Linked DNA regions of Sus scrofa. The protein of the gene in region 2 purifies or fractionates together with the protein of the main gene of each other region. This does not show direct contact. Links are inferred from orthologs where the notes say so. Each region holds a gene or a part of one and is shown on either strand. Other genes may lie near its edges.

The links. Proteins that work in one complex are often made in the same cells at the same time.
Region 1: the proteins of STRN (region 2) and CCT6A purify together in Homo sapiens (affinity purification with mass spectrometry; 3 studies listed by BioGRID and IntAct, with this or other methods). This does not show direct contact. The link is inferred for Sus scrofa from reciprocal best matches to the Homo sapiens genes STRN and CCT6A.

The regions. Positions count from the first base shown.
Region 1 is NC_010445.4:16,848,707-16,852,356, forward strand, and holds part of CCT6A (T-complex protein 1 subunit zeta), read right to left. Parts: intron 2,866-3,650; coding exon 2,755-2,865; intron 2,474-2,754; coding exon 2,314-2,473; intron 2,236-2,313; coding exon 2,153-2,235; intron 91-2,152; coding exon 1-90. UniProt on the Homo sapiens protein: Component of the chaperonin-containing T-complex (TRiC), a molecular chaperone complex that assists the folding of actin, tubulin and other proteins upon ATP hydrolysis.
Region 2 is NC_010445.4:103,248,766-103,252,515, forward strand, and holds the start of STRN (striatin), read left to right. Parts: upstream 1-1,060; 5' UTR 1,061-1,204; coding exon 1,205-1,438; intron 1,439-3,750. UniProt on the Homo sapiens protein: Calmodulin-binding scaffolding protein which is the center of the striatin-interacting phosphatase and kinase (STRIPAK) complexes.

The DNA.
Region 1 (3,650 bases), about 86 Mb from region 2:
TATTCATAGACAAGTCCTGCATGTCCCAAACAATCAGGATTTAGGTCATCAAGAGAATTTAGGGCTACCCCACCACAAGCAAGAGTCAGCCTGGAATATTCAAGTGTTTAAGGGAGATGCAGAGGTGACATTGTTAGTTACACTTAAAAAGATTAGTAACTTTTAAAAAGCAATCTTCTTCGAAATTATATACTAAAAGCGTATTTTTTTTTTTTTTTTTTTTAGGGCCACCTGTGGCATACAGAAGTTCCCAGGCCTACACCACAGCCACAGCAACACAGGATCCAATCCGCATTTTCGACCCATGCTGCAGCTTGCGGCAACACAGGATCCTTAAGCCACTGAGCAAGGCCAAGGATCTAACCCACACCCTCATGGACACTAGTCAGGTTTTCTTAAACCTCTGAGCCACAATAGGAAGTCCTATAAGCATATTTTAAAATATATTTTAGCTTATGCTTTTCCATTCACCAGGAACCAGTTAAAAACTGGTCTTTTCTCCTAACTCTCCATTTAACCATGTTACCCAAGTCAATTCAGAGGAGCAAATACTGCTTTGAATTCAAAGGTTCACAAGAGCTATCCACCATGGTAAGCTCTTTGGGAGAAAGTACTTCTCCAAAAATCCTTGATGCTGTCTCTGGACATGTGAAATTACGTACAGTACAGGTCATGATTTAAAAATGAGTAGAAGAGTTCCCATCATGGCTCAGCAGAAACATATCTGACTAGTATCCAAGAGGATGTGGGTTCAATCCCAGGCCTTGCTTAGTGGGTCGGGGATCTGGTGTTGCTGTGAGCTGTGGTGCAGGCTGGAAGCTGTAGCTCTGATTCGACCCCTAGCCTGGGAACTTCCACATGCTGAGGGTGCAGCCCTAAAAAACAAAACAAACAAAAAATGAAACAAAAAAACCACAAGTATATATCAACACTCATAGCAGCACTACTCACAACAGCCAAAAGGTAGAAGGACAAAATAAATGTCCATTGACAGATAAATGAATAAACAAAATAAAGAGATCCCGATACAGGCTACAACATAAATTTTGAAAAGATTATGCCAGGTGAAATAAGCCACGCAAAAGGATAAATACCTCATGATTCCCTTACACCATGTACCAAATTTAGAGAGACAGAAAATGGAATAGTATTTACTAGAGAGGGTATGCAGTTATTGAGTACAGACTTTCAGCTTACAAGGGAAAAAGTTCTTGAAATGAACAATGGTTGTACAACACTGTGAATGTGCTTCTGCTTTTCAGGGCCACAACTGTGGCTCAGGCATATGGAAGTTCCCAGGCTGGGGGTTGAATCAGAGCTGCAGCTCCACCTGCCAGCCTGTGCCACAGCCACACTGGATCCAAGCTCCATCTGTAACCTACATCACAGCTCACAGCAACACCAGATCCTTAACCCACTGAGCAGGGCCTGAGATCGAATGTGCATCCTCATGGATACTAGTTGGGTTGACTACTGCTAAGCCACAACAGGAACACCAACGCTGGATTCTTAACCTGCTGCAACACCAGGTAACTCCTGAATGTAATTTAATGACAAAGAATTGCACATTTTAAAACACAGGTAAGGAGTTCCTGTCATGACACAGCGGAAACGAATCTGAGTAGGGATCATGAAGTTGCGGGTTTGAACCCTGGCCCTGATCAGCGGGTTAAGGATCTGGCATTGCCATAAACTGTGGTGTAGGTCGAAGACGCGGCTCAGATCTGGCATGGCTGTGGCTGTGGTGTAGGCCGGCAGCTGTAGCTCCGATTCGACCCCTAGGCCTGGGAACTTCTATATGCCACAGGTGTGGCACTAAAAAGCAAAAAACAACAACAACACAAAAAACCCCACAGGTAAAATGACATATTTTATATTACGTACATTTCATTGCAATAAAAAAAAAAATCAGAAAACCACAAGAACAGGAGTTCTCCTGTGGCACAGTGGGCTAAGGATCCTGTGTCGTCACTGGAGTGGCTCAGGTTTGATCCCTCATCTGGGAACTTCCACATGCTACAGGAGTGTCAAAACAAAAACCAAACCAAACCAAACAAAAAACCCCACAAAAATATGAAGGGGGGAAAGCAATAATCCAAGTTAACTTGCAAAATAAGTGAAATTCAGGTCACAGATAACCTGCTGTCCGTACCTTTCCATGTTTCTCCTCTTAGCTCTACGTAGAGCTACTATGCCTTCTTTTGCAAGAGCATCTAAGGAAAAGGGGTCAATTCCCTATAAGAATAAAAGTAAGCTTCAATATAATTCACCTTAAAATAAAAGCAGACTAATTTATAAAGCAAAATTTCTCACCTTTTGATTAATAACAACAAATCCTTTATCTGAATCACCACATACTTTCTTCTTCAACTCTACTATTTTCTTAACTCTATCTTCAATGAATTTTCTTTCAGCTCTTACTAGTTTCTCTCTCTCTTCTGCACTCTTATAAAAAAAGCCAGAATTCACTTCTCTAAAAAAAGAAATTACAAAAATCAGAGGAAAGTATTTATTTTTTGAGTAGACAATAAGCCAGCAGCCTTAGAAACTGAGTCAGTCCTGAGCTTTAGCAAATAGTCACTGAGCTCCACACCCCCCCACCCCCCGTATGTTTTCAGAGGCTATTTCCCATACTTTTTTGACTGAGGCATTACTGTCCTACAGTGGGGAAACCGAGTCTCCCAAAAAAAGTGACTTGCCCCATATACCAAGCTCCTCCACCCTCCTTTCATCTTTAAGGAGCTATAAACTCACGTTTTTTCATATTCCAATGACACATTGCACGTGAGGATGTATGCATCTTCTACTCTCTTTTTCATGTCCGGATGCCGTGCCCCATGGTCCAAAACAAGACCCCTGATCAAGCTGTTCAAACACATACAAATTATATTCTTACTAATTTCCACATGGGGGAAACATACATTAGCAAAATTAAAACAGTGAACTGAGACTGTATTGGAAAATTTTTACACAATAAGCTTTATCTCTTAAGCTCTCTGAATAGGACTTTTGGGTAATACCCAGGGAGGTTCACTGTGAAAAGCAATATTCCAGAAGACACAACAAAAATAACCCATTCAAATGAAAGTAAAAACCCTGTCTTGGACAGAAAATTCTACAGAGAAATTGTCATAATTGGTAGGCTCCTAAACTGTGATCACCTCCCTTAAAGTCTTCAGGGTTCCCATCATGGCTCAGTGATTAATGAATCTGACTAGGAACCACAAGGTTGCAGGTTTGATCCCTGGCCTCACTCAGTGGGTTAAGGATCCGGCACTGCTGTGAGCTGTGGTGCAGGTTGAAGACGCAGCTCAGATCTGGCATTGCTGTGGCTCTGGCGTAGGCCGGCAGCTATAGCTCTGATGGGATCCCTAGCCTGGGAACCTCCATACGCCACAGGTGAGGCCCTAGAAAAGACAAAAAGACCAAAAAAAAAAAAAAAAAAAAAAAAAAAAAGTCTTCAAAGTAGGCCTTTAAAATAAATTTAAAAATTCCAAGTCTCTCATATGCTTTGCACAAACGTTCAACAAATGCCAAATGGCTGATGCAGCTGACTTTCCCCAGAATCATTCTGACTATAAATACACCACACCATGAACTTCATTTCAAGAAGAAATACTAAGTTAAATATTCATCTTTGGAGGTCCCAT
Region 2 (3,750 bases):
ACGTGGAAGAAACTGGGAACCGGACAAGTGAAAAAGGAGAGGTGCCCGGATACCTAAGATAGCTCTAGGGAGTAGAAAGGGATTTTGTTCTTTTAAATAGTGTAACTTTAGGGCATTGCGAGAATTGATTGTATAGTTGCCAGTCTGCCTTTGAAGACAGGAACTGTGTCATTTATCTTTATATCCCCAATGAGATAACTTACAGTCAAATATTTGTTGAAATGTGTACCGACTGCTCAGGGATAAGGAAAAATGAGTTCGAAATAAAAGAGCCTTGGATATTTGTAACGTTTACAGGATTTACTGCAAGCTATAAAGGAGGTGAAGCAGAGCCCTGTTTTAGATGTGGTGTCACCAAACCAAAAATTGCAAGAAACAGAAAGCTGCTGTGTTGCGTTCAGGACAGAGAGATGATTAGTTCCTTCTAAATGAAAAGTGATCAGGCAACAGGTTTGACTGAACCTCTAGCGAGAAAAAAGGCAGGAACGACCGCGATAAGGAGATGGACAGAAGTGGAGTGTCTTGGGTCAGAGAATCACTCTAGACAGAGCAGAAGGGAGAGGTCCGAGCGTGCTGGCTAGAGAATCCCGGGCCATGGGGTCGGACCGGCGAAGCTTGCTTTGAGCTTGTTTCTTAACAGAACTACCAGGAAGCCGTAGGAGATGTGCAGCTTAGGCTGGCATTTCGGCGCGGTAACTTCCGTGTGTGTGTGTGTGTGTGTGTGTGTGTCTGCAACAGTGAGCGCCTTGTGTGTGTGTGTGTATGCGCGCCACAGTGAGCGCCGCCCAAGAACTTCCGCGTGCTAGGGAGGCTGGAGGACCGCCAGCCAGCCCCTGCTTAACCAAGAGGAAACCCGCGCTCCCCGCCGGGGGCCGCCCCTTCTCCGCCATGGGCTGGGGCGGGCCCGGGGGCGGGGCCGCGGTGGAGCCGCAGCCGGTCGCAACCCCTCAGGCAGCCCGGGCGGTGCTCGCCGGCACCACGCCCCGCGACTACATTTCCCAGCAAGCCCCGCGCCGCCCGCGCACCGCAGTTGACCCATTTCCCGGCCCGTCCCGAGCTCGGCCGGCCCCCGCGCCCAGGCGGCTGCTCCCTGCTGACTGGGGTGTGGGCGGGGAGCGGCGGAGGGAGGAGGAGACGCTGCTGGCCGCCGCCGTTGCCTCAGCTGCTGGGCGCCTGGGCAGCTCCCCGGGTTCCTGCGGCCGCCATGGACGAGCAGGCGGGTCCCGGCGTCTTCTTCAGCAACAACCACCCGGGCGCCAGCGGTGCCAAGGGTCTCGGGCCTCTGGCGGAGGCTGCCGCGGCCGGCGACGGGGCGGCTGCGGCGGGGGCGGCGCGAGCCCAGTACAGCCTCCCGGGAATCCTGCACTTCCTTCAGCACGAGTGGGCCCGCTTCGAAGTGGAGAGAGCCCAGTGGGAAGTAGAGCGGGCGGAGCTGCAGGTAAAGACCCTCCCGGCCTGGCCGTCTTCATCCCGCCTCTCCGCTCTCTTCCGCCCCGCCCCGGACCCTTCCCCCTCCCCCGCTCCGCTCGCTCGTCCCCTCCCCCTTTGCTCCAGCCCATCCCACCCAGAACCTCATCCCCTTCCTCCCTTCACCTTTGCCTTTAGGTGACCCCACTTCCTCGACCCGGGTTCCCACTCCCAGCTCCCCCCCCCATGCGTTGTTTACCCTCCCCGCACCTTTTCGTCTGCTCCTTCCCACTCTTAACTCTCAGGCTTGTTTGAACTCTCTCGCCATTCCACATTTTAGGTCTTCCCTTTCAGTTTACTAATTGGGCTGACAGTAGTTTTGAGAGATGAGCAAATCATCCCCTATCCTAGTGAGTGGCCCTCCTAGGTCTAGAGAAGATGCCTGGAAAAGGTATTGACAGTTGGCGCCTCTCTGTGAGGAAGGCGATCAGAGAAGACAACAGAAGTTGTATCCGTGAGGCCTTGACTTTAAGGCAAGAAGCTGCCGTTGGGTCAAAGTGTTACTAGGAATATCTGCTCCCTTTTTATATATGTAAATGTTTCTTCTTTTACTTCTTCCTCATCCCATCCCGCGTTTCTTTTAGATATTTCAGACTCGTGGATTTTGAATGAAGAATCTAGATAGATAATCACAGTCAGATAATGGTTCAGAGATGGTTTCTTGTTCTCAGAATCTAAAACTTCCCAAGGGTTAATTTTATGTTCAGGGTTTTGTGAGACTGACTTGTACTTTAAAAGGAACTAAAAGGAGCTTCAAAGTTGGTTACATTTCCTTGCATAATCTACAAGATAAAGTATATCCAGGGAGGAGCTATTGTGGGATCTTGGAAGAATGAAAGTGAGGCTGATACTTTGCAGGCCATTCTGAACTGGTAAGTAGGTTTCAGTGGCTGTTTTTAAAACTTCCAAGGCATACACTAATTTCACAAGGAATTTAAAGAACTACGAGTGGCTCTGCCTTTCTGTCTTTCTGGCTAATCCTGTATGCTTGTGAAATCTGAGTATAGTTTTGGTTGGTGAAACACTTGAAGTTAAAGTGCTACCCACTGTGTCACTTTTTTTGGTACCATGTATTTTCTTTGGCACTTAAGAGGAAAGAAGAAACAATCATGTTAAATAGAATCATGTGCTGTAACAGGCTGCTTTGGTGTAGTGCAAGTGGTTGTGGAAAGAGCAAGCAGAAGGGGTTACAGTATAAGCTGTGCTTGCTGCCTGCTCTTTGACCTTGAGGAAATCCTTTAACTTTTCTGAACTTCAGTTTCATCATTTATTTATTCAGCGTATTTATTGAATGCGTATTTATTGAGTAACTGTAGTTACTCCTCAGTTTTGCCCTCTCTACCTTACCCCCTCCCTGCCCCAATATATACACACACACTACTTACTGGGTTATTTATGGCAAATGTTAAACTTCAAGTAGGTTTCCCATTGGTGCTTATACTAAGGGCACTACATTTTTACAGTATCTTGGTTTGTGCTCCAGTTCAATTAAGCATCCATGGAGAAACTTAGAAAATGTGCCATAGTTTTTTGTTTTTTGGTTTTTTTTTTTTGGTCTTTTGTCTTTTGAGGGCCACACCTGCGGCATATGGAGGTTCCCAGGCTAGGGGTCTAATTAGAGCCGTAACTTTTGGCCCATGCCAGAGCCACAGCCACACCAGATCCAAGCCATGTCTATGACCTATACCACAGGTCATGGCAACACCGGATCCTTAACCCACTGAGCGAGGCCAGGGATCGAACTCACAACCTCGTGGTTCCTAGTCGGATTCGTTCCGATGCGCCATGACAGGAATTCCTGCATAGTTTTTAAACAGAGCAAATAGGCATTTTGGGAGGAGGGAGTTTCCAGGAATCTGTGGTTTTTGACCTCCTTATTAGTATAATTGAATATATATTTTAAAAATAATTTCTTTATATCAACATCATTAAATTCGACCATATCCCTTCTTTTTTCCATCAGAATCTTTCTAGTAGGAAATAAGAATTGAATGAATGGTAATGAAATTTGGAACAGTTGGTATCATCTTTTTAATTTTTAAATCTCTTCTTAAGTCAATACCAGAGTCAACAAAAATACTTTTAAGATTAGGTCTGATTTTTCTCTTCAGGAACCTGTCAGTCCTGCTCTTTCAAGTTGCCTGGGCAGAGTTGTGAAAGGCAACCCAAGCTCTCATCTCCCTGGCTTGCTTACACCATATCCTCCGTCCTTCAGATCTTGGGAGTAAGGAACTGGCCACATTATGCCAAAAACTTATTCGTCATTTCTTGCCCCCTTGTCCA